Oreochromis niloticus: one gene and its partner. The protein of the gene in region 1 binds, or shares a complex with, the protein of each later gene. Links are inferred from orthologs where the notes say so. Each region holds a gene or a part of one and is shown in the gene's direction. Other genes may lie near its edges.

The links.
Region 2: pola2 (region 1) and prim1 share a complex: the UniProt entries of both Homo sapiens proteins name them as parts of the alpha DNA polymerase complex. The link is inferred for Oreochromis niloticus from reciprocal best matches to the Homo sapiens genes POLA2 and PRIM1.

The regions. Positions count from the first base shown.
Region 1 is NC_031966.2:21,171,121-21,187,698, reverse strand, and holds the start of pola2 (DNA polymerase alpha subunit B), read left to right. Parts: upstream 1-10,782; 5' UTR 10,783-11,048; coding exon 11,049-11,133; intron 11,134-11,608; coding exon 11,609-11,733; intron 11,734-11,840; coding exon 11,841-11,929; intron 11,930-12,055; coding exon 12,056-12,113; intron 12,114-12,345; coding exon 12,346-12,455; intron 12,456-12,631; coding exon 12,632-12,831; intron 12,832-12,947; coding exon 12,948-13,036; intron 13,037-13,276; coding exon 13,277-13,429; intron 13,430-13,780; coding exon 13,781-13,843; intron 13,844-13,917; coding exon 13,918-13,969; intron 13,970-14,061; coding exon 14,062-14,180; intron 14,181-14,340; coding exon 14,341-14,379; intron 14,380-14,921; coding exon 14,922-14,995; intron 14,996-15,445; coding exon 15,446-15,554; intron 15,555-15,706; coding exon 15,707-15,813; intron 15,814-16,003; coding exon 16,004-16,060; intron 16,061-16,143; coding exon 16,144-16,270; intron 16,271-16,475; coding exon 16,476-16,578. Other genes in the region: thiosulfate:glutathione sulfurtransferase-like, read left to right, coding at 249-377, 470-632, 870-924; top6bl (type 2 DNA topoisomerase 6 subunit B-like), read left to right, coding at 2,747-2,767, 2,926-3,049, 4,236-4,301, 4,381-4,502, 4,616-4,699, 4,783-4,838, 5,175-5,246, 5,334-5,529 and 6 more. UniProt on the Homo sapiens protein: Accessory subunit of the DNA polymerase alpha complex (also known as the alpha DNA polymerase-primase complex) which plays an essential role in the initiation of DNA synthesis.
Region 2 is NC_031984.2:12,813,860-12,830,051, forward strand, and holds the start of prim1 (DNA primase small subunit), read left to right. Parts: upstream 1-8,955; 5' UTR 8,956-9,137; coding exon 9,138-9,246; intron 9,247-10,065; coding exon 10,066-10,223; intron 10,224-10,305; coding exon 10,306-10,412; intron 10,413-10,503; coding exon 10,504-10,577; intron 10,578-10,672; coding exon 10,673-10,809; intron 10,810-13,695; coding exon 13,696-13,754; intron 13,755-14,104; coding exon 14,105-14,214; intron 14,215-14,332; coding exon 14,333-14,424; intron 14,425-14,508; coding exon 14,509-14,641; intron 14,642-15,222; coding exon 15,223-15,292; intron 15,293-15,386; coding exon 15,387-15,499; intron 15,500-16,192. Other genes in the region: rho-related GTP-binding protein Rho6, read right to left, coding at 1-79, 506-625. UniProt on the Homo sapiens protein: Catalytic subunit of the DNA primase complex and component of the DNA polymerase alpha complex (also known as the alpha DNA polymerase-primase complex - primosome/replisome) which play an essential role in the initiation of DNA synthesis.

The DNA.
Region 1 (16,578 bases):
TGATATATGATACCACTGATATGACCACATCCTTCCTTATCAGTACGGGTAGAGCAGGTGTCATATTACATCTAACCCTTTCACATGAACAGTAATTAGTTTTCTTTGGCAAGGATCCTTAATAATGCATTCTTGTGTCAGGATGATTTATCACTTAAAACCTGTATCTAAAAGAGACAGTGGTGTAGTTTTATTTAATTTGAAGAAATGTTATCATACGGTTTCTCGTGTTTTCTGCCATGTTCAAGGTACCAAGGATATTTCCTATGAGGAACTGAAGGCTCTTGTGGGAAAGAGCCCGAATCTCATTCTGATTGATGTCCGCAGTGAAGAAGAGGTGGCAAAAGGACATATTCCAGGATGCACCAATATCCCACGTGAGATTGTTTTTCAAGTTCTGTACGTTTTCTCTAAGTTTTCATTTGCATCTTCATGTTTTCTACCTTTGTCTCTTCTTTGATTCCTTCAGTTGATACAGTGGAGACTGCTTTTGCAATGAATCCAGATGAATTCAAGGCCAAGTATGGCATAAAGAAGCCACAGCTGGATGCACCAGAGCTGGTGTTTTCCTGCCAGTCGGGCAGGCGATCAGGACTGGCCATCGGCAAGGTCCAACAGCTGGGATACGTGACGTAAATACGTTATTGTTTATAATACACAATACACACACATACATGCAGAAGGCCCATTAAAAAAAAAAAAAACTTCTTTATTAACACAAAGGCAATAAGTCCTTAAGACTGTAGAGAGCCATCTTTGGTTTTTGTTGTTGTTGTTGTTACAAATGTGCAGCTTTCTGCTGCATGTTTGTGATGTAATAATGACAGCTTTTATATTCTGACATCTTTCATCTCTGTTCTCTATTTCAGCGCACGCAATTATACTGGTGGATACAGCGAGTGGTCCAAGAAAGAAGGAAAGTGATTTGTGCTAAAGAAGAGTTTCATATGTCTTCATCCAATCAGCAACTGTGAAATTTAGATGTTTTAATCTTCTGGTGATTTTTTCACACTGTGTAATATTAATATTGAATTTTATATTTATGAATAATTACAAAGAAATTAAATTATTACATTTACTTGGAAAGAATTGTGTTGTGTTTGTTATTCTTTAAAAATGAAAAAGATCCCAAAAGATATGATAAATACATGCATAATGATGTCTTTGCAAACAGAGGTACACGCAATGAGCCTGATAAACACCACAAAATAACAGCTGTACAGTACAAAGTACCAGTGGTACAGTGACTTTTATTGCATCATTAATAATTATTTATCACCATATAATTAAGTGCTTTTGCTAACATTAACAGAGAAGAGCGCCTTGAAAGGTTTTTGCCGCCTTTCTGATTTCTTAGTTTTATGCCTGTTTGTCACACTTAAATGTTTCAGATCTGCAAAAACATTTTAATATCAGGCAAAGATAACACTAAAACTAGAACTAAAACTAAATACAAAATGCAGCTTTTAAAAGATTTCCATTATTATGGGAAAAAATATCCAAACCAACAAGGTCCCGTGTGAAAAAGTCATTGTCACCTTCTTGTTAAATCATGAATTAACTGTGGTTAGTGACATTTTTTTTTTTTGGAAAAGCAGAGTTCGATTTCACTATCTATACTATCTTCACTTGGATTACTGCGAGACCTGTTGAATCAAGAAATCACCCTGTTTTACAAAGTGAAGCAGGCTAAAAGATCTCAAAAAGCAACACATCATGCCGCAATCTAAAAAGACTCAAGAACAGATGAGAAACAAGGTCACTCACATCTATCAGTCACTCTAAAGCTTTAAGACTTTTGTGAACCACACTGGTGAACCTAAATTACTTCAAGAGTGCATCGATGACTCAAGAACTGCAAAACTTTGGGGAAATAATCTGTTGACTGATAAGACAACTTAATCAAACTTAAATAATTTTTTAAAGGGTTTGAGTCCCATTACGTCTGACCTAAAACTAACAAACGCAGGACTGCATAAAAAGAATAGAAAACAAACCCTCCAATTTGACCGGGGTAAAATAATTCTGCAAAGAAGAGTAGCCAAAAACTCCTCCCCAGTGATGTGAAAGACTCATTTCCAGTTACTTGATTGTCGTTCTTGCTGCCAAGGACAGAACAACCACTGAACAGATTTACACTGCACTTATCTTTTTTCACATAGGACCAGATGGATTTGGATAGCTTTTATAATAAATGAAATAATCATTTAAACAGTGTGGCGTATTTAATCAGGTTATCTTTTTCTATTACTAGTATTTGATTAATGATCTGAAACAGTTAAGTGTAACAAATGTAGGGGAAAAAACGGAGAAATTTTCTTATGATCTAATATGCCTAAATATATAGACATTTTTTAAGATCAATTTTAAATGTTCAAAAACATACTTTTTAAACTACTGCCTATTATATGCTTACATATAAATTATCAAGTCATCATCACTTTTCATTAAAACTAAATAGTAAGTGATAAAACAGTTAGCAATACAATACATACCAATAAAAACCATGTTCAAAACTATGTAAAAATATTATTATTACTATTATTATTATTATTATTATTAATATTATTAATATTATTATGATTGTGTCAAATATTTTAAACAACTAATAAATAATAAATCATTTTCAAATTACATACAGATGCTTTCCTGGATTGGTATGAGTCAACAGCCTAATTACACGGAACAAAAGTTTATGTTAAATATAGGTTAGGGTGCTGATTTAGCACAAAGGCAACAACTGAAAATGCTGAAAGAAATGCAACAGGTAATTTTTTTAAGTAATAGCTATTCTTGATTCATGGTAGAAAAGAAAATGGATAAAGAGATTTAGAGATTTAGAGAGCAAATTACTAGCTAATGCTAACTAGCAAGTAGCGTTAGCATGCTAAGCTAGGAGTTTGTTTTTTCAAATGGCCTCTCCAGGTGCTGCGTTTGCTCATGCTAATGGGAAAGCAAAGGCAAAAGCTTTGTTTAAGGACAGGAGGAGGACTTTTGTTGCTTTTGTGGACTGACACAGGAGTTTCTACGCAAAAGCTGAACTGCACTGGTGAGTCAAAGCAGCTGAGATTGCTATAACACCAAATGAGCAGTAAAAGAGGTATAACAGGGAGATAAATGAGGATTAAGGTGGGGTTTGATCAAATATTGAAATGACAATGTCTTTGGATAAATGGGGTTATTTTTGATACACACTATATATTAGAAAAATACAGTATTTTAATATCTACAGGTCATTTTATTAGGGACACATTCAGCTTCTTATAAAATATCTGATCGGCAATCAAATGGTAGCAGTTGAATTTGTTTAGGTAAGTAAACATGGTCAAGATGACTATGCTGAAGTTCAAACTGAGCCTCAGAATAGGGATAAAAACAATGCGTTGGCATGCATGTTGATGCCCAAGGGGCTGGTCTGAGTATTTCTGCTGAACTGCTGGTATTTTCCCACACAGTCATCTCTATGGTTTACTGAAAATGGTCCAAAAAGAGGAAAATATGAGATGAGTGGCAGTTCTCTTGCCCAACCTTGAAGCAGATGGGCTACAGCCACAGTAGACCACACAGAGTGCGGATGTTTTGTAGAAATGAGGCTACAAAACAAACAGCCTAACCAGTATTAGAAAATAGAAGATTGGAAAAGATGCCTGGTCTGATGAGTCACAATTCATCGTGGAATACTTGGATGTTACGGTCACAATTTAATGTAAACAACGTGAAAGCACAAATTCATCCAGTCTTGTATCATCAGGTCAGGCTGCTGGTGGTTCACTGGTGTGGGGGGATATTTTCTTGGCAGACTTTGGGATCCTTACTACCTATTGACCATCAAAGAATGAATTAAAGCAGCTTTGAAGGCAGAAGGGGGTCCAACCCAGTACTAAGAAGGTGTACCTAACAAAGTGGTGGGTCTAGGGTAGCCTAGGTAGATGAGTGGAAACTAACCTAAAATAAAACTTCAATAGATTTTTATTGTATCAATTAAAGCTACAAATTATGTCGTAAATATTAAGTGTCTACATAAATTAATTTAATCTCCAAAGTATGGTGAAGATCATTTCATCAACAGATGATTAATTGGTTACCTTGAGGCATGAAAACAAAATAATTTATTACTGTACAATTACTGTTAGTGCCTTCATGTAAATTTACTGCAGTATAAAGATAACTAACAGGAAGCTAGTTGTCCCAGCAGCTCTTGGAACAAAGGCTAATGTTTTGTTGTATTGATCTAGTTAATTGCACAGTTGCAGCGGCTGGCCCCTGGTGTGCAGGGATTCAAATGGAAGCCCTCCAACCTGGTATGTATACACAAATATAGACATGTACACATAACTGGAACCTCCGTGCACTACATCGCCTCTCTTCTTGCTACATCAGTCCTTGCCAGTTTGAAAGAGAGCATGTTTCCCTGTGTGTGGCCATGTAATGAGCCTGACCCTGAGGAGCTGAGTGCCTTCACAGATCTGTATGGTTCCCTCAGATTGCTTCTATCTTTTCAGGTAGAAAAACAACCCAGATGAATTCTGACATGCATTTATTTTTTCCTTGTCTTTCAGTTGTAACGCAAGTAGTGTGAGTCACATGTTGTTTTAACATATCTTGCAACGTACAGGTAAAAGACACAAGACATTGCACTTCAGAGTGGCAAGCCCATATAGAGGCATTCCTGCGCACATTCTCTTTGGCTAATGCCGGGGTATGAACAGATCTGTTTCCCCATCTCGAGTCACATGTTAGGCTTCAAGCAAAAAAAGTTTACATCTTTCTTATTTTTCATAGATACAAATCCACCTCAAACTCAAAATCAACGGGGAGACCTCACTGCGGGAACTGAGGTACAAGTGCATCGATGTATATCATAGCTTCTCCCTCTTGTTTAACATCTCACAATTAATGACTTTGTTTTTAAGTTCATTAAGGATGTCACTTTATAAACAGAATTTAGCTAGTTATTTTTGAGTAAGTTTAATATAAAAAAGTTCAAGCAAAAGAGTATTGCAGTAGATCATTGTAATTGCCTTGAGTGGTTTGTCTTGGAGTAAAAAGATAAAAACGAGACAAAAGGCTGGCTGTGCTAAACCCTCTTGAGTGGAGTCTGGATTATAAATTACAAAGGAATGGAAATATCCGTCTCTGTTTTATGAATTGCTGACATAATCATATTATTGCAGTGTAAAGTTCAAGAGAAGAGTTGCACTGGCGGACCAACTGTTACTGACCCTGGACGTCACCTGTTCTGCACCGTCAGTAATGCCGCTTTTAAAGATTTGACCAAAATAACTGCCTCCTATTGATCTGTCTGATTTTCTCTTGTCCCCTTGAATTTAAAGGCCTCCGTGGTGTGTGAAGAAAGGGTGCTGGTGTGTGAGAGGACACCCTGCTATAGGAGGCAGGTTGCCCCTCAGCATCCCACCACAAACCATGGAGCAGGGCCTCTTTGGGGATCTGAGTGTTCAGGTGGTTGCACTCCTGACCCCCTGTCTGCTGCCATACCCCAATGTGACAACAGAACTTACTCACATACAAATATCCTTTTCATGTCTTATCATACATCTGTACCACACAGTCTCATTTCCTGTCATGGTAGGCAAAGGAATTGAATACGAGGGGAAATTCAGACAAGGGCCTGACTCATTTGGGGCATCTGATTTGGATTAGTCTTCCTTAACATGTTTCCATGTGTTGGTATACAACCCCAGTAACATTCCTGTCAATGGCCCCTCTGGCTTCTTTCAAAAACTTCCAGCTGTTCTGGACTGTCAAGAGCTGGGACTAGATAGACTTTACTGCTCTTCTTTCAAAGGTAATCACTGCTGGGAACAGCATGTTCTGATGTTCAGGGTGTATTTTACCTCTTTTTGCTGAGAGGTTTGATTTCCCAATAAAAAGAGTGTAAAACGAACCTGATGTAGGTCCAAAGTCCGGAACAGTTAATCCTGTCCTTACGGGATATTAAGACATTGAAACAATTAGAACTTGGATTTGTTACCTTTGTTGAAGAAAACTCATTTCAACCACCTGCGTGGGTTTATGAGAGAATGAGCCCAAGCCTGAGGCTGCTAATTAAGACTTTTATGGACCTCATAAGGCCGACATTTGAATGGGAGAGGCAAAACCAAACGGAACAATGGACGCAGAACAGAAAACATAAACAAAAGCATTAAGCACTAAAAGAAAATGGACTACAGAATTTACTTTCTGTCACAACACAGTGGTTTTCCCTGCACTCTAAAAACCTGCCTCATGAGAATGGGGTTCATCTGCAACTAATTTGCACTTGAAATTTATTTCCAATACAAGATTTAGTGCTCCAGTCGCACCACAAAATATTCTCATAGCAGCGATTTCAGTTGTGGAGAAAGGGTTTGACCTAACTGTCTGTTTCCCATGAATAACTGTGCTTTATTACAGTAATATACTTAAAAGGTTTTTTCCTTTTTTTTTCAGAAGTATTTACATAATTTTTCATGCTAATAGCTTTTGGGATGAGCAGTGTTTCATTTTCGTTTCATTGATATTGTCACAGTGACAGTGTAGAAAGCATGTGGAATGTGAACTGTGCGCAACGTGCAGACTGAATGTTTGACTTGATGACAGTGCTAGATAAAAAGACAGGACAACCAGAGTTCCTACAAATCTATCATCTTGAGAACAGGACCTGTTTTGTTGCAAAATATTCAGCAGTTGAGAAGACACATCCACAAGACTGCCAGTGCCATGCACAAAAAAGTCTGTCCCATCAGAGTTACCAAAACCTTTTAGAGCAATCCGTCAAGTTTTTCGGGTTTAAATTTGGACCAAACTGATGGACATAGAGGCAGCAGCATTATAGTTTTCCAACATGTATTTTGCAAATTAGTTGTATATGGCATATTTGAATAGTTTATAAGATCATTTGAATTACAGAGTAGTAGTCTTGTAAATATTATATGGTTTCTCCTGTCAATGAGTACCTAACAAGCAGGACGCTCTTCTCTAAAAAAGACCAAACTATCTTCTTGCGTCCAGACAGCAGTCTAGTAAAATGAGCCTAATTTAAGTCTTTATTAACCATTTAGTCATTTAGATTTTATTTTAAGTAGTAGCAGCAGGTATTTAAAGCCTTACCCTAAAGAGAGCTATCAAAAAGAAACACATCAGTCTGGAAGCTACATTTTAAAAAGACTTAACGGTCACTGTTTTGCACACAGAGCAGACTGGAGCAGTTTGATTAAACGCACTCATGTAGTGATAACAGTCAAAATACGGCCCTTTTATCAGAAACTGCTCTTTCACAATAAGTGTTTCCCCCTTTGTATACAATAAATCATAACTACAAACAAAACCGACAGTCTGTATTAATCAGCAATACCCTGCCCATTCACATTCACACAGTGAAACCTGAAAACACCCCGTAATCCATCCTGCTTCACGCTGTCTCTGACCATCTTCCATCATCATTTATTTTATTTAAGAAGTTTGATTTGGCATGAAAAGAGACACGTTTGACATGTTATTTTTTAATGCTGACATAAAAGGCTGCAATAAATAAATAAATGCCCTTACAATTATCTGCCCAACCCAGAGGTGTGTCTTTAATTGCCAGCATGTTAGATACATGTCATGCTGGTTGTAACCCATGTGTGGCTTCATGCAAACACTCTGTTTTCTTCTTAAAATTCTTATCTCAAGTAACTCCCACTGTATCCATCTTATTATTTTCTTTACTTTGGCATAAATGTTTCAACATCCCCTGCAGATCTTGTGTATAGCGGCGGTACTGTGTACACAGTAGAGAAAGACAGCTGGGATGATCCAGAGCAGGAATCAAGTCTTCCCACAGTGCAGCAGAGTCTCCTGCTTTTCTTCTTCTTACAGCATAGTGACCCCTTCACCTCCCAGCTCACTGATCTTATGGGTGAGGAACCGCAGCAGCATGTACAGTCACAAAACCCTACACTGTAGGCAGCCTTTCTTTCAGTTTTCCAATGCAAACATGCAAATTGTTGATCATTCAGCCACCGAGGTGTTGATAGAGCTCCACCTGGAGGACATTCTGAACAACAACAGGCAGGCCGTCGTAGCAGCCGTGCAGACTGAGCTGAAGAACACACTGAAATCGCAAAATCACAGAAAAAAGGCATGACAAACACATACACGCACATGCACAAGCACACTAAGTATCCTACTTCTTTTACTTAGAGTTTTTAGTCCTCTAATGATAACTATTACAGTCCATTAACAGAAAATGAATCAGCAACAATTTTGATCATTGACATCTTTTCTCTCTTTTCACTCACTATGGATTGAATTGGTTATGCAATTAAGCACAACCCTATACTCAGGTAGATTGTGATGGTTGTTTTATATTCATTTCTAACACTTATCGGCACCAGAAAAAAGTAATTGTGTATGTTTGTGTGTGTCCTTAAGCAACAAGAAAAGCTGCACGCAGCTGCTGAGGTGATTCTCAGTTCGTCCATGAGCATCGTGAGCAGCAGCAGTAGCATGGACTTCAGAAATGCCTGTCTGAACCGCATGAAGGTGTGGAAAAACTGCCTGTCTCATGGTGTGATGCAGAAACTGAATACTGTATTCAGAGGCGTTGACAACTTGTTAGGTTTGTGTTTGTCAGGTACATGATACACATGAGTTGGCAGCCTCCCTCCGTGAATCACTGTGGAGAGTGACATCATGGAAATTCGTTCCCAGGGCCAAGTGCTTTTCTACTAAGGTGAGTGAGACGCTTGCTTTCCGCCAGCACCACCCAATTCCTATAGCAGCTCCTCATTACCACTGTACCTCTTACACTGAACCACAATCTGATGCAATGTCATTGTTTTAACAGATGGAAGTACATCCTGTACACGATGAGCCCACCACAGCAGAAATCTGAGAATCTCTGTGTTTATCTTAAGAGTTCTGTTATGGTTAAATGCTGCGGAGGCGGCAGAAGAGGGTTTGAATGTGTTTAAAAAATTTAAAGTGCACCAGTTGTGCTGCCAAAAGCAACATCTGTTTAATCCATAATTTTAAAAGCACAGTTGTTGTTATAGCTTGGTTGCACCAGTTTATTTTTGTAATAATATTCCAAGGCTCAAATTGATCTCAGTTTTTCTTATCAATGTTATACCCATAGAAAAACGTCTGTAGCATATATCTATTTAGGATGTGAGGTGACATCACGTAGTGCTGGAGTACCAAATATACATTATTTGAGTGAAACACAGGGGTTTAACAGGAAGGTTTAGTGGGCTATTACAAGTTTAAAGTCAGAGTTTTCAGTGTGATAAAAGTGCCTCTCTTTTTACCTACATCACCATGGTAACCTGGAAAAAAAGCCCTAAAATCAGAGGCAGTGATACCTTTGTATTTGTCACAGATAGCCAGAAGAATGCCCACCGGATCTTTAATGAGTATCTGTTGTTGAGATATCTCCCTAAACTGACAAGATTGGACCCTGAAAAAGCCCCAGTTCAGATACTCATCCGTGAAACATTGGCATTCATCACCAAGAACTGTGCAATCAATATAATCAATTTCACTTTGATCTGGTGGCAAACAAAAGTGATTTTCACATCTTTTGGCTATGTTCCAGTAAGTTTGAATATTTAAAATTTGTAAAATGTAAAGTTTCAGAGCTCTAACATGCATCCATCCTATTAGAAATAAACAACAGCATTAAAATAATTAACTGGAGTTCAAATGTTTATTTTACCACTTTGTGTGCTAAATGCAAGATTAACAATTATCTGCTGAATTAATTTCCTGTCTTATTTCTAATAGTTTTGCATTTTACTGTTGTATTCTTTAAAGAATTTGGTCACTATATTATCATTATCTTATATCATTTCTGATTGGAGTAGGTGGCACTCATAGGGATCATTTTATGCAGAAGAAGAGTCATATGAACAACTAAACAGGTAATACAATTTGGAATATTATCTAAATTTAGAAAAACAAGACGTTAACGATCATATAATTAAGTTAAGGATATAAATCGGTAAGGATGCAATTTTTCGCATTCTTATCTGATTTATGCAGTTGTTTACAGTGCAGTTGTTTCTAGAGTGCAAACGAGTTTTGATAGATATAAAAACAGACAATAGGAGTTATTGCAAGAATGAGTCTGTTTTGCGTAACCTGTTATTGTGTATCGTAACAAGTTCCTAATGTGTGCATGGACAAAAAATGTTAGTGTGTAGCAGTGATTGTGAGTGTGACAGGTCTGGGAAGAAGCCGTTTCCCAGCCTTGTTGTTTTGGCACTGATGCTGCACTTTGTGAGGTGAGGGGGTAAAAAGTCCATGGGTTTAAAGAGTCCTTTTTGATACTGGTAGCCCTGCTGATGTAGATATCTTTAATCAATGACAGGCTGCTGCTGCTGATCTTCTGCAAGGACACAATTGTCCACTCCAGAGACTTCCTGCCAGCAGCAGAGCAGTATCAGTAACACACACTGCACACCTATAAAAAGATCTGAGAATTGTGGTACCCAGACCAGTGCTATCCAATAGTTAAACTGTACACATATGTTATCCAGTGATTCCCAAACTATGGAGCAGATAACCAGATGATTAAATAAGTATAAATAGATAAGAGTTAGTTGCCATTTGTCTGACCATTATTCAGATAGAATTCGTGCGTCCTTTGTTTTTAATTGTTGATTGGATGAACTGTGGGGCATTTGCGTTTTTCTGCTTCTGAAGTGGGACACTGCTAAAGTTTGAAACAACCAAGTTACCAGGACAGGCTTTTATTTTTGTGGGACCGCCAACTTCCGTTTATTATTGTTACGAATGTGACGCATATTCCGGCCGCCAACACGAACAGCGCTTTTTCGCGGTAAAATGAAACAGGCATCAGGTCGACCATTATTATTTCGTTTGTACTGTCTAACAGCTAACCGCCTGTAGGTAGTATTTAGAAGCCGTGTAGTTAAAAAAAAAAAAAACTAGGGTCAGCGGCATTGTCGCGAAGTAAGAGTAAAGCTAACGTTAGCAGCTATCATCACAACATTGGAGCTTTTCACGTTTTCCACAACGTAATAACTGTATATCATAAAACCATGTCGCTAGTAACTACAGAGAGCTTAAAGGCTGAGCTGGAAATATTCGATATACCCTATCAGGATGATTCCGTCCTCGACAAAAGTAAGTTGCTAACTAAGATGACCGTTTTTCTCATATGGATTGAGGCTTTACACAGGAGAGTGTGCTAGCAAAGAAGCTAAGTGTATTATCACTGTAATCATCGAGGACTCTACCATACGCAGGATAGCAGTAATGTAGTGTTGTGACATGTAGTTTAAGCTGTTGTCATCAGTCATAATATTTATATACCGATGTCAATGCGCTTTTGTTAGTTAAAGCTTTTAACTAAAATAGCATTTTTCTTCTTGATAACTTACTTTCACAAGTCAAGTAAATTAGAAATCAGCTTTTTTTTGTTTTGATTTCATTGATACGTCTTTTATATTTACTAAGCCATTTTTAAAGATCAAGAACAGTAATTATTCACTGCAAGTTGTGTCCCACAAAATTAATTCACACTGTACTTGCTTCTAGTATTTTCTCAGACACTCAGATTAAATCCTTGGTTGTTTTCCCTCATATATCCTCCATTCAGTGGTGGAGCAGTGTATTTGTAACAGACTGCAGACATCCGAGATACTGCATGAGTGGGTTGCCTATAGCGCCACAAAACAAGGGGTGAAGCTCACCATGGACACTCTGGAGCAGTTTGAACATGAGGTAACAGGACCACAGATTTTAACATGCATTACAAATTACTTATTAAATATGCAACAATGTAGTCATTCTCTACTCCTTATAAATGCAGCATGTTTGTCATCTTGCAGGTTTTGAACAAGAAGAGCAAATCCAGAAAAACCTCCCGGAAGGAAGAAGCATCCAGTAGAATGAGAGACATTAGCAGGATGGATGATTTGTATCCTTCACACTGATGCTTCAGCGTAAAGACCCGTCCATCTGCACTGTGTGGAGTCATGTGTTTTCTTTGATTTGTGTCTGCTAATGTTGCTGTTGAGTCATAGACTTTGACAAAATGAATCAGAATAAAAGCTGAGGAAGAGGAGGAGGATCTCTTAGATTCTTACTCTACTCCTGCTAAGGTAACCAAACACTTCTTGCTTGTCAGCAGCAGAGCATTATCTAATCTGAACAAAAGAAATACATTTTCATAACTTTAAAAAAAAAGTGTATCCATTTATGTTTTGGGTTTTTTTGTTGATATTCCTTTAAAAGCTAAGATAAGCTAGATGTGACTCGTGGGTCTCCCGCAGAGTAAGTTTGAGTCTATGTAGACAGACAAGATCCTGACTGTGTTTGTTCCTGTCGGTACAGGGCTCTCAGAAACGACCTCTGACGACACCAGAGCATCCTCGTTCAAAGAGAACTGCAGCTCCGATGGCCAGCCCGAGCATACTGCTGTCTCCAGCCAGCTTCTCTCCCAAGTACTCTCCACCCCATGCTGCTCTGATTTTTTTTGAAAACATGAAAATTATGCTCTCTGGTTGTGTTAAAGTTAAAAAAGAAAGCTTTATTTTTGTCACTAGTAACTTTTTTAAAGATAAACTTTTGTATTTGCATCACTGTCACTTTAAGTGACCTCCCCTTCTCTCTTTGGAAGTGCGACACCCTCACAGAAGTACAGCCAGCGGGGAGGAAAGGGGGAGGTGGTGGTCACATTTGGGGCTGTGCAGGGCACCCGTTGGGTGGGCAGGAAAGACCCAGGTGCAGGCGTCCAAGTTGAGATATTGGAAGGACCGGAAGATTCCCTTAACAGCAGCTACAAATACATGTTCCAGAGGCTGCGAGATGTTCGAAACGGTACATAGTTGCACACACTTGATTAAAGATTTCCTGTATGTTTGAGTGTAAAATCACTAAATGAATATACTCCAGAACCTTTGGATAATATTTTTTTTTTCCTGGGTCTTTCCCAGTGTTGACAGAGAAGATTGAGGAGCTAGGAGAAGGACTCAGGACTCACTTCAGCATTGAGGAGTTCTCCCCCGTCTCTCTGCCTGCCCAGGTACAGAAGAGATGACACCTTCAGAAAACTTTTAAATTAAAGATTCATCCCCACTGCTTAAACAATAAATTATTAAATAATAGTAGGTTGCGATAAAATGTTACGTTACATCACTGAATTCTTTTTCCTCTTAAAATCATATATATTGAAGAGTAAAATCAAACCTGCTTAAGTCTGTTAAATGTATTTGTTTGATTAAAAGTTAACTTCTTTCTTGGGTTTGCGTCTTCTTCCCTGCAGGACAGTATAACTGTGCTAGGACAGATTTGCTGTGACAGTAACGGCAAACTGAATGCACAGTCGGTTCTGCTAGAGGCCGGACCAGAACAAGGCGGTCAGCAAGTACCTGTTGACCTATCGGAGCTTAAAGAGTATTCTCTTTTTCCTGGTCAGGTGAGCTGAAGAAAATATCTTACTTTGACAGATGAAACTAGAAATGGGTACGCTGATGAGGTCCTTCCTAATGACCAGTCGGTGGTTTCTCCTTTGCCTGTGCACTGAGCTTATGTGCAGCAGGTTATATGGCCACCAAGAGTAACAGAGCATGCCAAGGACATGGGCTTGAGACTGACCCAGTGTCTGACCGAGAGCTCTGACAGTTTTTCCTCTCATAAAAATAAACTTTCAGAATTATAGGAAACCTTTTATCAGCAGAAGCATGTAGCTTTATGTTTTTGCAGCTCTTTCCAACAAACCCACATGTAAGAAAACATTTATCTAAATGCTTCTATTCTGTTTTTTTAGGTGGTGGTGATGGAGGGAATGAACACTACAGGAAGAAAACTGGTGGCTTCCAAATTCTATGAGGTCAGTTATAAGTTTTAGGCTTTAACACTTTTTGCCTGTTTGTGAAACCTTTTGTAATGGTGTTGTGCTTTTAGGCTGTTCCTCTGCCGTTCTACAGTTCTAACATGAAAATGGAGACAGATGAAGGTAAGATCTGTCTTTTATTTTGATCAATTTTTCAGATTTAGCTTGGAACTTAAAGCCATCTTCTTACACTCCACACTCTTCATTTGTTGCAGAGCCACTGAATGTACTGGTGGCCTGTGGACCGTACACTCCCTCTGACAGTCTGACCTTTGACCCCCTGCTGGACTTAATCAATGTTATTGTCAGGGATCGTCCTGATGTCTGCCTGCTGGTACAGTCTCCCTTGTTGTTCCATCATAAAACAGACACTATCCATGACAGAATTTCCACTAAAGCTCACATGTACACTGTCAGGAGTGTATTATGAGGGAGACAGTCCTCCCATGACTCTGTTTTGTCTGGTTTTCCTATTTCTTGTTTCTCTTCTCCAGCTGGGCCCATTTGTGGATTCCAAACATGAACAGATTGAGGTCAGTGTGACAGAGACCGTGTTTTTCTTGATTTTGAGTGTGTACACCACAAGAGGAAACATTTCATGCGCATTTTTGCACGTAAATTTTGTTGCGCATCACACACACAACAAAAAAACAAAAACCGAGAGCCTGAGTCAAAATATCACAATGATAACAATGGGTCAAGTTTCCTCTTTAAAGCATGTGGTCCAATAGATAAGTGAACAGTTTTTAAAAGGACGACCATTCATAAGGAACAATTCTAAACTCCTGAACAGGACTTTATTTAACGATCAGTCAAAATAAAATGTAAAGGTTAAAAAATCAAATCAAAATGCTTTAAAAGGGATATGTGTGTCGACAAAAACTAATAGGTATCACTTGCTGAATAAAACTTCTGTGTTATCCTTCAAGATATAACACTTAACCCACAAATAAAATGATTAGTTTCAGTGTTATTGGGTCTGGAAATGTATCCAAATTTGCAGTGTGAATTCATTTTAATCAACATATATGTTTGTTTGTTCATTCTTTGTCATCTTCATGTGTTTCTTAAATAGAAAGCCCAGGTGACTGAGACTTTTGAGAACATTTTCAACAGATGCATTGAAAGCATTGTGGATGGGACCAGAAGGTATGTGTTGTCTAATCAAAGCTCAGAGTCAGACAGCTTTGGAAATCCCCCTATCCATGTCACTTCCTTTGTAATGTTGAATTCAGGATCCATGTGTGACCTTTTCTGCAATTTTCCAAAAGTAGCAGGAGGTTTTTTCGCTTTTGTTTTAAATCTGTGCCTTAAGGACATTTAGCTGCAACCCCATCTGAAACCCTGCGACGTAACCTGCATGCAATTGCAATTGCACATGAAAATTGTCTTTCTTGTTGCTGCATTTAATTACATTTATTTGTGCATAAACTATGTTATCACATTATACAAGCAAGTTAAGAGAGAGATCAGTCACACTGTAACGATTCGAGGTTTGTTTTTGTCTTTTGTTTTTTTTAAACTATGCTTTTCACCTGTTCAAATCAGATTTTCTTTACCACAATGAAGCCTCGTGTTTTCTCGTTTTCTTTAATCCAGTGTTGGCTGTCAGCTGGTGTTTGTGCCTTCTCAGAGAGACATCCACCACCATTTCATCTACCCACAGCCTCCATTCAGCCTGCCCCACATCAACAAAGAACAGGCCCAGGTTAGACACTGTTGTTGCATGCTGATGAGCACATGCAGCAGATTTCTGAGCACTCGTGGCAAACCTTATTTTAATAGTGTAGCATTGTTTGTCTTCCGTCCTAGAGATGTCATGCTCTCAGGTTATATAATGTTTGTCTTCATGCTTTGCAGCGTGTCACCCTGGTCCCTGACCCCTGCACCCTGCTGATTGACGGTGTGACTATTGGCTTGACATCAACTGACATCCTCATCCACATGGGTCCAGAGGAAATCAGCTGGTGAGTAAGGCTGTTTTCTAATTTGCACCAAATTCTGACATCAAGGTTGCAGTCAAGATCAGAAACACCAAAGTGAGTTACATTTTATTCAGATTTATAAAGAACAGGTGTGACCGTTTTCTTAAATTATTCACGTTTTCCAATGAAGGTCATCAGTGTACATAGTTGAAATTGATGTGTTGCATTGCAGTGGAACCGGCTCAGACAAATTCTCACGCATACTGAAGCACATGCTCACACAGCGAAGGTAAATCCTGAAGGAGTTCAGATCTATTTATTTATTTGAGGTCACGTATTATTTAGTGATCGTGTCCATGTTCTCATGTCCAGTTACTACCCACTGTATCCGCCTGCGGACGAGGTAAATATGGATTATGAGAAGTTCCAGAGCTTCGGCCAAATGCCGCTCACCCCCGACGTCCTTGTTGTTCCCTCTGAAATGCGCTACTTTGTAAAGGTAAACAACTCGTCTTCCCTTTGACATCCTATATATACACATTTATTGAGCTAATTGATTGCAGAATCATCAGGCATTGCATTGATAATATAAAGTAAAACAGAAAAATTATTGCTTCTTTTTTTTAAACGTGAATTTTTTTTTTTTCTTTTTGGATGAGTTTTTTACGAGTGTTATGTTATTTAAAATCCCCTCCCATCTTCAGGACGTGGTTGGCTGTGTGTGTGTCAACCCTGGGCGGCTGACCAAAGGCCAGGTGGGCGGGACGTACGGGCGGCTGCTCATCCAGCGCAGCCCTCAGTCAGAAG
Region 2 (16,192 bases), on another chromosome or scaffold:
CCCAAAGGCTGAGCTCCACACGCTGGTCTTCAAGCTCCAGACAGGCTGTGTAGTTCTCAAACACAGTAGGGACATAAGTCTGGAAACAATTAAAGAAAGAGATTTTAAAAAAGACAAACACACACAGAAACAAGTAGATTTAATTTATCAGTCAGTAAGAAAAGAAATTATAACAACATATTATCACATATTATTCTAGATTAAATTTTGCTTCTTTTTTTTTACATTTAAACAAAATCAACACATCAGTTCATGACTTGATGCTTAAATGTCAGCAGCATTATATATATGTATACGTGTGTGCTAAAAATAGCTAAAAAAAAAATATTTATTATAGCTTACACACTATTTATAATTATACCAATTATCCCCCCAAAAAATATGCAGAACAGAATCTACAACAGCGTATAAATGAATCATAATGAGACATTTTTTTAGGGATTTTTCCTCAGTATTGATCCTAAAACGACTGCAGACACATGAGACGTGTGCAGAAATCTCATACCTCTGGATAGCAGTCCTTCACCAAGACTTGTAACATCGCTGTTTTACCGCATTGGACGTCCCCAACCAGCACCAGCTTACACCTCCCTACAAACGGCTGTGTGAGTCTTCGCTCCTTCATGTTGGAATAAAACAAGAAGATCTTCAAAGGAAGCCCGAGTACAAATGCGGGAAAGTTTGGTAAATCCTCTCGGACGCCGGGTACAGTACGCGCTGTCCTCCTGCAGTGAGTGAGTGAGGCTGAGCAGCAGTCAGTGAAGGAGTCACTGCGGAACTTTATATTGTCGCGCCAACCAATGAGCGCTGCGCAGTGCGCGAGCCGCAGGAGGAGGGCCGTGCACGAGAGCACATCTTCTAATAGGGTTGGAGGAGCAGCTTGTTCAGACTTCACCACGAGTATCCTTTTATTTAATAGTACAAACGAATGTTCTTCTGCTTTTATTTTGGACTCTTTGTTTACTGTTTATGTGGGACATTAGAGGACACGTTAGACCAGGGATGTTAAACATAAGGCCCGAGGGCCAGAACGGGCCACCACTCAGGGTCTTTTCCAAACCACTGGATGGCTTGGAAAATGTGAAAATTATAAAAAAGGAGAGCATACATTTTTAGGGTTTTTACCGTGTTTTGTGTTAAAAAATTACACACAAAAGAGTGTGAAATGCTGCCCTGCCTGGCTAGACCAAAAAAATAAAAATAATAATAGATAAGCAGAAATGGTAAAAATGGCCTGTATTTATATAGCGCTTTTCTAGTCCCTAAGGACCCCAAAGCGCTTTACATATCCAGTCATTCACCCATTCACACACACATTCACACACTGGTGATGGCAAGCTACGTTGTAGCCACAGCCCTGGGGCGCACTGACAGAGGCGAGGCTGCCGGACACTGGCGCCACCGGGCCCTCTGACCACCACCAGTAGGCAACGGGTGAAGTGTCTTGCCCAAGGACACAACGACCGAGACTGTCCGAGCCGGGGCTCGAACCTGCAACCTTCCGATTACAAGGCGAACTCCCAACTCTTGAGCCACAATCGCCCCAGAACTTGACTTAAAAAAATTAACAAACCATGCAGGTAACAGGATTGACATAAATTATTTTATGGACAAATATCTACATTTAATTCGTGTAAAAGTATCTACGATGAGCATAAATAATGGGAACTAAAGTTTGATTTTATAGTCTTGTGTGATAGTCTTTCACATCTTTCTCCAGTCACAGTTTTTTTTCTTGTCAGACTCTCAAAATGTGGGACACATTTTGTAAGATAAGGTTTACTTTATCTGTCTAAAAGCAGGCGTTAGAGCAGCCAAAGCATTAAATGAAGGCACTAAAAATGGCGTAAAGCAGAATAAATAGTAAACTTTTTTTTTTTAAAAGATTAAATAAAATGCATTTTAAAAAGCAAAACAGTTAAATATATATATTAAGGGGTGAAAAAGAATAAAAAGGAGTGTTTCGTTGCAAGTGGGACACCTGGTCACACTTATAAATATCATCAGATTCTTGGTAAATACTTATATTGCTCTTTTCTACTCTAACTGTGCACTCAACGCGCCTAACACAGCTTGCCTCATTCACCCATTCACACTAGCACTTTTTTCTATGCTCTTTCTATCTAACATTCACACACATCCATATGTCAATAGATGCATCGGAGAGCAACTTGGGTTTATTTAGCATGCAGACTGGAGCAGACCACCTGAGCTACAGCCACCCCAAAAAGCTTCTTCACAGCTCCGTTTGCCTGTTTGATTCTGAAACACTGATGGATTTCCCAACTGCCTCTTTAGATTCAGCGATACTTATCAAGCTAATGTGCTCATGGGTTTTTTTTTTTAATTATTTAAAAAGCCTTCTAAAGCCTCAAAATACTCCAAACTGTGTTTTAGTCATTTTTATGCCTCTTGAATTTTTGAATCCAAGTCAATATCAAACATCCAACAGTGGCATGTGGAACTTTAATCCAGGATAACAAATACAGTGTATAACTCATGACATGCAGTTTAACCTCAGAATTGAAAATATTTGCATTGGAGTTCTAAATTTTCTACTATTTCTTGTTAAAGGTTGTTACCTTTAGGATACTGGATGCCTGTGCTGGCATTTCTCCTGCGGTGTTGCTATCAGTGTGTGAAGAGTGGGAGAAGAGGGTTGCATTGACAATCCAACACAATGGGCAGCACATTGAACACATTTTATAAGTGGTCAGAAACTTGTAAATAACTCATGAAAGAATAAAGTTACGTTGAAACCAAGCACACCATTGTTTTTCTTGTGACATTACCAATAAGTTTGATGTGTCACATGGCCCTCTTCCTATTGAAAAAACAAAAGTTGTATCCAAGATGGCCGACTTCTAAATGGCCACCATGGTCACCACCCATCTTGAGGAGTTTGCCCCCTCACATATACTAATGTGCCACAAACAGGACTTTAATAACACCAACCATTCCCATTTTATTACGGTGTATCCATATAAATGGCCCACCCTGTATTATAAAGAGTTACAGAAGGACATTAATTTCATTCTGATGGGAGCAGAAAGAAACAGAAACCCTGTCTGTGTCCAAATTGTCTCTAAAGTTCACTAATCACTTCAGGTATTATTTATTTAACCTGTTAAAACAAAAAGTAAAAATTATTATTTTAAAGCAGGTTTATGTGCAAAGTTACTTCTTGGCACGCAGGTGCATTTAGGTTATAGGGGCATCCAGCAGTTAATCCAGATGTTTTTGTGCCCAGCCAATCCAGTATTTCTAGAAATAAATAGATTAAAGACAGTATTATATGGTGAGCTCTGCTAAGCAGATTTCTATTACCGTTGGGCAAACCCAGGCAAGCTATTTCCCCCCTTTTCCTGGTTATTGTCCAAAGTAAACAGCTCTGTGACTCATGGTTAACAGACAGAAATGAGAGTGGTATCTGTTTTGTCACCAAATTCTCAAATTAACAGGGCAAAAGAGCGTCAGCAGTGCTAAATTACGGTATCTCTTTAAGTAAACACAAAACCCTTCCAGTGACAGTAAATCCACAAGTTTAAGGGGATTTTCATTGTTTCGTGTTTTCTTCCTGGAAAACTTCAGGCATCTTTGGCTATGAGTCTAATTTTGTTCACAGCTAATAAAAACAGATACTCGTGGGGAAATATTTGCCAACTCTGCTGGAAAATGTGATTCATGTAAATCAAATGTAGAGCAAATTCCTCTTCTGTCAGGCGGTTTTTGTAGGTGCATCCAGGAGTCATCAACAGCACCTCATCTATTATATGAGTGGTGTCAGTGATGGTTTTGTGTGCAGGGTAACAACAAAGTCAGCAATGAGCGCAAGAAAAGACCAGAGAAAACTAAGCAGACACATAAAGTTTTATTCTCCCCCTTAAACCTTGCCATACCTAAGGTCAAAGGTCATTTTGTCATGAAAAGGCTCAACTGAAATGGTTCAAAGTGTGGCATCACATAGAAATTCAGCTACTCTGAATCTGGTGATGTATACGTAGCCTGAAAGACTCTGTTAATTGAATTCATGTGTCACAGTCATGTAAGGATGCAGTTATTTTCACACAAAACATATGAGTGACTGCATGTGTGCACGTGTTTGTGTAACATACAGCGTGCAGCATACAGGGTAAAGTGCTGCCTGCTAAATCAAACAAATGACAGTTGGTTTCGTCAGTCTGGACAATAACAGATAATTCAAGAGTGTCGGCTGTGTGGCAGAGGGGAAATGGAGCATGGTGCGGTGTGCACAACATAAATGCCGAGGGCTTTTTATGAGAATGATGTAATGTGAGAAATGTGCGAGTTTGCAGGAATTTGTAAATGACTCAGTCTTGAGGTTAGCCTCCTCAGATTAACATTTCCCCATTTGTGAAATCTGTGAAAAGCCAACAGTGACTGTTTGAAGTTTCTGTGAAACTCAACATTTTATGATTATGTTGTTTCTACACTACTATTCTCTCCAGAATTGGATCATTTTATTTAGACTCAAGTAAAACCTCATTAAAAATAGCATTACTATCATTATTACTATGAGTACACCGCATGCTACTGTACCCTATTATTGGCAAACTGATGTACTTAATAAAAGTAGAGAGAAACACAGTAGCAAAATAGGGGTGGTACATGTTGTTTATGTACATAAACAGAAGATAAAGATGGAACCAAGTGTATGTTTATGTACAGCATATTGTATTTACAACCGTCTATTACCTAAAGAATAAATGTACTACTACACACTGTTCACCTACATTAGGTTTATAAAGAAAAATTGGTATCCAAGATTTTGTACATCGAATATAAACCCATGTAGTAAAAAGAAACTTAACTTTCATTATAAACTGGTTTTTGGGTGATTGTTTTTTTTTGTTGTAACAATCTTGACTTGAGTATGTGGGCTGTGCCCATGAAAAATCTTCTCTGTCAAGGCAAGACATCTTATTTTGCTTTAACTCACTTAACCTGGTTCTGCCAAAGGTTTTTCCTTCTCATTGTCACCAAGTGCTTGCTCACAGGGAGACGTCTGATTGTTGGAGTTTCTCTGTATTATTAGGGTCTTTACCTTACGATAAAAAGCGTCTTGAGGTAACTGCTGTTGGGATTTAACACTAGATGTATTGAATTGAATTGAATTGAATTTTGGTGTCATTTATTGGATTGGTTGATTAATGTCTGAAGAAACAAGACATTGGCAATTTAACAATTGATTCATTTAAACAACAGAGACCAGCATCTTATTCTCTGACCAACACTCTCACATTGGCTGACTTGCAACAAATGCTGGTTGAAGAATGAGATGCCATCCCACAGCAGTGTGTAGCCAAGCTGTTGACCAGCATGTGGAAGGAGATGCGCCAGGCTATTGTAGGTGTGAATGGTTCTTTCACATCCTACTGAGTCCTCTGTTTGCTAAATTAATAAATTATTAAATTTCCAATATGACTCTATGTCCAATCATCCAGGTAAGGAAATCCCCCCCAAAAAAGATTCTGGATGAAGTGTTTTCAGTGGGAGAAATGTTTCGTCACTCATCCAAGTGACTTCTTCTGTCTTAGCTGACTGCAGGTTTCCTGAACTTCGTAAATAGTACATTTGCATAATGACTGACACTAGCACCACTGACTGACAATGGGCCATGAGGTCAGTTTCGTGGTCATTAATTTGCCAGTTGTCATGACCATTGATCAATGACCATTCCAATATGTCTTGTCTTTTTATGCTTAAATCATCATATCATGTTTGGCTTAGCAGTCTATAAAAGGCGTCAGGTGATACAATGTTTCACCTGTTACCAGTCATTTTAGTTGGTTTTATTGTGTTTGGTGTAATTTTACCTTTTTTGGGGGGGGGGACGCGTCTCAAGCTTCCTGCCTTAATTGAGTCGGTAGAAGCCATTCTCATGTTAACACCGGTATATGTAAAAATACATAAACATATGTATGCAGACACAAGTAGACCAGGATTAGAAGCAAGACAAGCAAGCAGTGGAATCCAAAAATGAAAACAATTAGCTCTCATACCTCCTTTGGTAAGGTTACTGTATCTTTGGACATACATTTTTGTGTCACTCCAGACTGGTTTTAGGGTTTCTATTAGCCTATTTCACCAGGTTTTCCTGATGAAAGGCAACATTGGCACACTTTGGCGATCTAAAGACACAGTGACTTTTCAACCATGAACTATGACTCCTCATGTACAACAAACACAATGACTTATGGTGCTGGCCAGTGGGCTCCGTGGACACCTGAAAGCAGTCTGACCTACATTCATCAGCTGAAAATTGTATCTTCTCCCCATGTTTTACCTTATCTAACTTGCCCCACTGACATTTAGCATTGAGCGTGCGGCTGTGACTGGTAGCTATGTGTTACAGTACGTATCTACATGCATGATGAGCCACTGGAGAGCTTAAATAGCAACAACAACTCACAGAAATGATTGATATTAGAAACTCCTGAATGTAAATATGCATTAATTATATACTCTAATATACAGTAGAATTGCGGATCAAAGCAACAGAAGGCATTAATCCCAAATCTGATTCAAGTGATTTCTAGAAATTGATTCAAAAGGGGGAAAAATGCATCGCATCCAATATGCCTTGCAGTGAATAAAATTTGCATAATTCAAGTAAGATGAGGTTGAGAGCTCTTGCATTATGCAAATCAGGGTATGAGTGGTATATTAGCATAAAGTGCAATCATAAAAGGAAATGTATTGGCATTACTTGTCTATCAGTTGCTCTTGAGTGTGGCACAGTTCACTGAAGCTGGTTCATTACCATCAATCTAGAGTGTAGGTATTACACATGTTACTGTAGTTGGCTCGCTCAGCATTTACATGTGTGTGTGAAAGTGGAGAGGAAGATTAAATTTAGTGCATATGAAGATGTTTTCCCTTGAAATATTGCCTGTATATTAGAAGCTACAAGTTACTGTTATGTCTTCAGTGGGGAAGGATGATTTTGAAGGTTTGTTGTTTGGTCTGAAATAAAAACAGAGTGTCAGAGATGAATAGAGATTCAAGTCTGGGGATGAGACGGAATGAATAATATTACAGAGCCAGACATATTTAAAGTACAACACTGCAAATAGAGAGTGTTGTTTCACATTAGAAGTACAACAGCTGACAAGGGCTCTTGTGGCTGCACACCTCTCAACCTTCACTGTGAGCAGCACCACTTCAGTCAGGAGGTGTTTGATGCACCACAGTGAAAGCTGTAACACTAATAGTGCAGCAACCCAGACTGATGGGCAGGACAGAAAGAGGCTCCATGCCTGACACTTTTTGTCTTGAAAGCGCATGTGGCCTTTTCAAATGTCAAAGCAAAGGGTGGATGTGACTGAAGAGTAAAAATGGCATGAATCAATCAATCAACCCAAAAAAGAGCTGAAATAAGCTGCTGTTTGTCCTTGTTTAGCTCATTTGGATCTCGTATTTGGCACCATTTCGTCCATGCTTCACTGAAAACTGTGGAAGTGTCCTCTCCTCTTTCCTGAGTGTTTACTGCTCATACCAAAGATGCAAGAAACAGAATAACTGAGTGTTTTAGTACAACTGATCTGCCAGGATGATGAAAACTACTAAAAGAAAACAAATTTCCTGAAATGTGGATTAATGTGGGAAATTTCAAATTATTGTTATGAGACTGTACTGCCCTCTAGGGGTGTACAATTCAATTTTTCCAGCTTAGGAAAAATTGAATTGATAGTATTATATTTCTTCTCTTTTCCAATCCACTTCACTCTTTCAATCAACATTTTTTATTGAATACCTGAGGATGAAGTAAATTTAAAGAAGGCTTGAAGATAAAGAAACCTTTGATGAGGCATCTCTCTATTACCCTTCTTTGTCTTTTCTTATTCTTCCTTGATGGAGGATACATTAGCCAGTTTCCCCCCCATTTTTGTTTGTTTGCTTTCAGTTTCTAATTAGTTTACGGAGAAATGTTGTTTTGTCCTATGGCCCATCATGTGGCATCTCAGACTCCGGTCTTTTTGTTTCCTTTGCTCAGGCCCCCAGACCCTTGTAGTTCATTTATATTTACGTTACTCTAAAAACACTCAAATAAACACTTGATCATCACTGTATAAACCAAAGAAACTTCAGGGATATCACTCTGTCCGTTTAAGAAGCATAAACCATCATGGAACATTTGTATCAAAGCTGGGTCTCCCAACATCCACTGAAGGATGCAAGGGCCTGATGCCATGCCACACAGCAAACCTTTCAGCCTGTCTGCATGTTCTAACCTGGAAGAGCGTGTCACATGTGTGACCTGAATGGGCTGCAGATACCATCTCATGCTACTGGTAGTATCAAGGACACAAGCAAAAAGCAAAAAATGGAGGAGGGATGAAGTGAGAGCAATGGTTGGATGGATTTATAATAATATAGTAATTTATTCATTCATTCATTGTTAATTTATTTCAAACATGTAAACAATATACATGTTTGAAATAAATTAACAAGTAACTAAGTAAAGAAAATAAGAGAGACAAAAATACTATACAAAAGTCAATACATTTCAATATTGCTACCGTTCTGAGTAATTTATGGAGCTACTTTACCAAAAACCACTGTATTGTATTATATTCTGTGCTCTTTGTGTTTTGTTTTCAGGTTTACTTATTGAGCTACTTTATTTTTTAAATAATTAATTTATAATGTTTACCACAGCGTCTTTATTTTGTCATATTGTACTTTATAGTTGTTGCTGCCAAACGACTACATGTCCCATGAGCCTCTCTTCACTGGCGTCACGTCCGCCTTTTTTAAGCTTCTAGGACTAATATTACAAGGTTAACTAAAACCAGAAGGGAAAAAAAGAAAGCCATTGTCAATGTTATAGTAACGTTTCGATGCAGTAATAGTTTAAAAAAATCTCATTACCCTGGATGATTTTGCCTTCGTTGATTTTTTTATAGCCTAAAAGAGAAACGGCTGCCTTGCAACTTCCTGGTTGTGGTGATGTCACTGACCTAAACTTGTGTCATTGGTTTGGTCTGTTGCTTGAGAGTTTTCCCGCGCTACCCTCGGCGTAAAACAACACAGTGAGCTGTCACGGTGTAGCTAGCGGCTTAGCAATATTTTACCGTATCTTTACATCCACAGCTAATTTTAGCTATCAAATAATGCCATCATCAGACTATGATCCAGCTTCTCTGCCGGACCTATTACCGCTGTACTACCGGCGGCTCTTCCCATTCTCCCAGTATTACCGCTGGCTGAGCTACGGAGGAGGTGAGTACACAGGCATGGAAACCTAGCATAAATAAGCTAAATAACTGGGGGTGTTGATCTGTGTTGTGTTATATAGGAAGCTAACGTGTTTTGTTAGGCACTAAAATGGTAGAATTATTCTGGATTTGACTTTCTTCCAAATTAGTAAGTCATCCTATACAGCCATTCTAGCTTCATGTTAATCCCTCTACTTTCATCAGTAAAGATTAAAATGATTTTGTATTAATGCATCCTACGAACACTGTAGTAATGCTGTTGTTTAACAGGGATGCTGAAATTCTGGTCAGTTACCAGTGTTTAGAATAGTGTTTAAAATAGGTCAGTAGCCAGTAATGAAACAAATGTTTGATTTGTTTGAATTGTTTTGCTGTTCTTCAGCACGTTATCATTTATCCAGCATAAACATTGCATTAGACACTCAGTTCATCTGCAGATAAATGTGAGCACTCTCTTCTTGACCTCTGTTGTGCACCAGCCATTATTGTAACTGCAGATGTATAAATATATCCACCTTTACTACCACTCCTTGCAGCTTCACTGTTACACCTGTCTCCCTCTCATTCACAGACATTTATTTTGTATTACGTCTACTGACTTTCATTCCTCATTTCAGAATGGATGGTTGCAGTACTGTAACATATGCTTATAAATGAAACTGTAAAAGTGCCGTTGACAGTAAAGACAGGATCCACTGCTCTGTGATGCTGACATGTATAACTATTAAGAGTTAGACAGAGAGTTAAAAATGCCCAAATACAGGACTAATGTGTGTGTCTTGTTGAATTTTTTTGTTTCTTTGTTTTTCTTGTACAATCTCAGTGCAGAAAAACTACTTTCAAAATCGCGAGTTCTCGTTTACCCTGAAAGATGACATCTATGTACGCTACCAGTCGTTCAGCACGCAGAATGAGCTGGAGAAGGAAATGCAGAAGATGAACCCCTACAAGATCGACGTGGGAGCAGTGTACAGCCACAGGGTAATTTTCCACACCTTACAGAGTTTGTGCATCACGGCAGACATATGTATGGAGTATGTTTGTCACTCTTTGTTGCCCACAGCCAAGTCAACACAACACTGTGAAGTCGGGGACCTTCCAGGCTCTGGAGAAAGAGCTTGTGTTTGATATTGATATGACAGATTATGATGACGTCCGAAGCTGCTGCAGGTAGGTTAATTATGTATTTATTTCCTGTCGCAATCGCGGAATATCCTGACCGTTTCATCGCCCACATAACACTTTAAAACTGTCATTTTAGTGCTGCTGACATCTGCTCCAAGTGCTGGACCTTAATGACCATCGCCATCCATATCCTGGATAGAGCTCTTCGAGGTTTGGTCATCACAGATTCAGTGCCAGGTGACAGCTTGTGTGGATTTTTGTTGAAATTCTCATCAAGCATGTGTTGGTTTTTGTGTTACTTCCAGATGACTTTGGTTTCCAGCACCGTCTGTGGGTTTATTCTGGCAGAAGAGGAGTACATTGTTGGGTGTGTGATGAAGCTGCCCGGAAACTCTCTGTAGCAGCGCGCTCTGCTGTGACAGAATACCTCAGCCTGGTCAAGGTACGAGTACTTCAACTTTTAATAGAAGTCCTTTGTAAGTACTTTCTACTTCCTAACTTAATCAATTAAAGTTTTTTGTTTCTTTTTTTTATAAACTTTAATTAACAGATGTTATTGGATATAACCACAGTTAACAGGTTGGGATTGCTAAAACATAATTTGAATGTATAACGCAGTTAGAGAAAAGTCAGTCTATTGATGCATTGCACATAAACCACCAAACGCTACTTGTCCTGCCAGACTACTATAATAAGATGTTGAACTATTATTATTATAATTAGAACAAAGTGTCGCACGTACATTACAATGTGCTTCATGTGGATTCATAGAACAGACCACACAACAGCTAGAACAGCATGCGATAGATAGACATGGAGTACAAATATTAAGACTCTTAAAACAAAATTAAAAGAGCATTTATTAAAACTTAAAAAAGATAAAACAAACTAATACCAGGGTTTGTATGGGTACTTGAAATCCTCGAAAATGCTTGAATTTTAATATTGTCTTTTCAAGGTTTGAAAAGTGCTTGAATTTCAGATGTGGTGCTTAAAAGTGCTTGAAACTGTATTTCATTCACCACAAATAACTATCTGACCGAATAGTTTTCTTATCAGATAGAGAAAGAAAATGAGTCGCAAAGTCTAAAAGCAAAATTTCTCCACCTGGGCTGCCAAGCACCTCTGCATGTCAGTCTGTTTCAATGTGTGACCCCGCCCCTCCCCCGGACAGTTGGGGATGAGTGCACTAACATGCCTGGAAATTGCCGTTTTAAGTGTTTGATGGAAATGACAATGGCAGAGTTTGCGCTCTCGAGTCACATGATAGGTGAGTCCTAGTAATTAATTTTTGAGAATGTGTACATATGTGTACAATGTGTACGTGCACATTTTTAAAACTATTATTATTTTGCTAGCTATCAAACTTGCTGGAGAAATGATTGAAATGCACTGAGTGTGATGTAGTACGGCAGCGCTATTATAGCAGTTAGTTATGGCATCGCATGGTGATTTATAGAATATGCTGTGAATTTGGCTAACATTACTTAGCAGTAGCAGTAATGTGAGTTACTTCACTCAAGTAAAAGCTTTAAACGTTAGTCCGATACTTAACTAGCCAACTTAAGGCTTAAGGAAATAATGGTAATAAGAGGGACTGATCCATATGGGCACAAAAAATAGCCACTTTTGTTGTGCTACCGAAGTTCCCTGGCTTTCATTCAAAATCTGTTTATTTTTATAAATTATAAATGGCTTCAAGCTCACATTGAGGCCTGTGGGGCACTATCAGCCACTGAGACAATAGACAAATTTGAGTGTTTTAATATATGAATATTTTATACTTTAAGGTTGCCTGTTTATTTAATGGAGATGAACAATATATTATAATTGTACCTAATAATATCACAGATGATAGACTAAATAAATAGATTTTAGGTAGATGCTTGTGCATTCTTAAAGTCTTATATGTTGAATTGAACTATGTCATCTGTTCAAAACCTCTCCCAGTCAGAGCTGTTCTCCAGGCCTGTGTTATTGTACATGGTGTTATTAGCACAAACACTTTAAAGGTGATCATTTATGACTTGAACAGTAATGCAGACAGCAATGTAGTTAAACTTACAGTTGGTTTTATTGGGAATTAACTTTAACCTGTTAGGCCTCCAGGGGTTTTCTGAGCTTTCTGCTCGAAAATGAAATGACCAAAATAAATGGAGTATTTCTCTACAATTACAAACTCTGTGTAAACAGTCTTGGTATCAAAATAAAGGTAACACTTGTGAGATGTCATCAGAGGTGTAAATATTACTGCAGATGTTACTATGTCAACATTGCTGTGACTCAAACATAGAAAAATGTGATATTTTTTTTTTATATCCCTCGCCTAATTTTTAAAAGTATTTTATAGCATATAACGCCTTTGAAAATATGCTTCGGTTCACATTTAACTCCAGAAAATCATAAATCAAAATATGGATATTACCTGTCCAAAGATTCATGGTGACGTAACTGCTCTAAACTGTTTAGTGTCTTTGCTTTGTTTGGTGTTTGTAGAAATGGTTTATATGAGATTTTAGCTGAGATTCAGAGGTTTCTATGGACACTACTCATGTCGGCACTTATATTCTGACCTCGTGTTATAACAGATTAAAGGTGATCTCCTCCCTTTTGCCCCCATTTTTTGGGGCGTGGGTGATTAACTAGTTAAAAAAACAAACATCTGTCTCCTATTTTTTGTGCCACATAGGAAAGCCAATATCTGATGAGAAGACTTATTAATTTGGCCTTGCTGTGTATTATTGTGGTGTTTGGTGTTTGGTGCAGTTTTCTTGTTTTGTGCGATTGATGTTTTTTTGTTTTGTTTTTTCTTTTCAAGTGGAGAATATCTCTACCAAGTTGATTTATTCACATTTGCAAATCTTAATTTTTAAGAAAAATGTGTTTTTTGAGTTTGTACACTATATGAATATAATGCAACACTTTCCTTTTTCAGTATTTGTCTGTATTTGTCTTTTCTATGTTTTAACAAAAGGCGAACAAAGGACATTTAAGTCAACCTAAAATGATTTGTTTTCATTTTTACATGGCCTTACTGAGGTGATGCTAAGAACTGGGTAATGTGCTTGAAAAGCTTGAAAATGGACCTTGAAAGTGCTTAAAAAGTGCTTGAATCTGACCCTGAAAAATGTGTATGAACTCTGTAATACAGTACTTATTGAGTTAAAAGATGTGACTGTTTTCCTTACATCTGCACAGTCTTAGGACTCTGATTTGATTATTAATCAGACTGTTGTCTTATTTGTTGTTTCATGAGTAGCATACTAGAGAAATTTATCTTCCTCAAATGGCCTGCAATGTTTGATTTTAAAAATGTGATGTTTTGTAGGGTGGTGATGAAACCGTGAAGAAAGTAGTGCTGACTGAACCAATTCACCCTTTTATCAGGTAACTGTTTGATTAATTTTGGTGTTAGTCTCTTATAGTCTGTGTCTGTGTTCCAGCAAGATTGTACCCATTTATTTTTCAGTATTTTTCTTGCTTTGCCTCTCTTTCATCAGCACAATCTCTGGACATCATTTTTAATTAGGACCATTTTTGTAAGCAGTGACACACTGTGTTCTCGTTTGCCTTGTGAATTTGCTAATTACTTTCACTGAGACAGCTGTCCTGGATTTCTGTGCTTGGGTGCAGTTGTGATCACAGTGATCACCATGTCTGGATACAGTGATCACTGGTTACACACTCTTGGGTTCAGTGCACTCTGTGCTTTTTAAAATTGTGCCTCTTTTTAACAGCAACTCTCTGGACGTGGTGAAGGAATATTTTACCCAATATGCACTACATGACCAGGACCTGATGGGAAGCAAGGAGTCTGTAGAAAAAGTGCTGGCACTCGTTCCTGAGGATATCCTTTTCTTAGTTTACCGCATATTTGCCGCATAAAGTAATTGATTGGACCTATAGACATTTGTTGGCAAAGACTTCAAAGATCTTGTTGAAAGTGACTTGACTTTATATATTACATGCCAGAAGCTACCTACAGCAGGAGTTTGAAAAGGAGAAGAAGCCTGAGAAACGTTGGAAACTGATTACGACAGAGGCTAAGAGGAAACAGGTTGGTAATTTTGCTCACAGTTTTTACATTGTTTTACACATTAGAACAGAAGGGCTTGTCGTCTTACAATCTGTCTCCCTGAAGAGCACTGCAAAGAAGGGCCAGTACTTTGAAAAAGAAATCATGCTGCAGTATTGTTACCCACGGCTCGACGCCAACGTCAGCAAAGGTGTGAACCATCTGCTGAAGAGTCCTTTCAGTGTACACCCCAAAACAGGTGAGCATACTTTAAAGAGGCTTGTATTGGAAATGTCTGGGTACTAAGAGTACATGCTAGTAATGTTAGTAATATTGTATCACACTTTTTGGGCAAAGGTGCTCCTTGGAGTCAAGATTATTTGCTTGTTTCCTATATTTTTGCATATTTGTCAGACTCAAATGTTTCAGATAATCAGATACATTTTGATATTAGACAAATATAACCCAAGTAAATATAAAATTCTGTTTTTAAATGAATGAAAATTTTAAAATAAAAAAAGCTTATCCAAACCTACCTGCTCGGTGTGGAAAAAGTAATACACTGGATGGATATAAAATATTGGCTTCTTCATTCTGTTAAATGACATTCTGTCATTCATATCAAGGTTTATATTCCTGAAATGTCAGGGAAATGTCAGCTGTCAATAAAGTGTGTCAGTATATCAATGTCAGTATATCAATAAAGGCTTTTTATTGATATACCTCAAAACTCAGAGGACCTTGGATGTTTTTTCTTTTGTTTCTTTGTCCCCAGGTTAATCTAATCTGACTTAAGTATGAGTGCATAAAACTGCATCCTCTCTCTCTCTCTCTGTCCAGGCCGCATTTCTGTTCCCATAGATGTCAGTGAATTGGACAAATTTGATCCCTTTTCTGTGCCCACGATCAGGTAATAATTTAATGTTTGGTGCTCTGTTGTCTGCAGCATGTGAGTGATCCTCAAGAAGACTGATGTTGTAACATTTTGTTTTATCTTGTTGTAGTCTGATCTGTGAGGAGCTGGATCGGCCCAGGCCAGGCGAAGAGAAAGAGAAATTAGGGGATGGGAAGGAGAAGGAAGACGAGAAAGATGCAATAGAGAAGCGCAAGATCAGAGGTGCTGGGGGAAAGAAAAATGCAAAGATCTACCTGAAACTTTTACCTAAAAATACACCTGGATAGCACATAAAACTTTGAAATCTTTAGGCCTTTAAATGGGCTGACATAAGGTGTTTTGGGGGCTAGGGTCTTCTCAACGGTATGATGTTTTTTTCTGAGTGTAAAGATCATATGACGTAAAATAATCACCCGCACTCTCTAAAATGCTCCTTACATAATTCGCTGAGACGTACAGGCCTAGTCACTAGTAAGCGATACAAAAAATTTGAATTCCCCTGCCAAGTGGCCAATGTTTGCTGGAGGTTGCTGACTGTTGCTAGGTGAAATTGTTTGCAAAGAGCGTGCTTCATCCAAAATCTTATGATTGTTGTGGTTGCTACAAGATCACCTATTGTTTGCATAATTGCTTGGTGTTGCAGAATTATGAAATGCATCAAAAACAGCCTAAAGATGTTGAAGGACCAGATCAAGGGAAGAGCTAGTGACATATAAAATGTTGTCATCTGCATAAAAATGTACATTTTGGGTAGCAAAGTTAATATTGTTTATGTACCTTTTGCCTTTAAATTAAAAGTTGTGCCTAACTGCTGTAACACAACATATCTCAAATGGTGGAACTTTTACTTTGAAGGTGATCATTCTCCATGTCTGGTTCACATCGCATTTTTCACAATTTCACTGCAAATAGTTG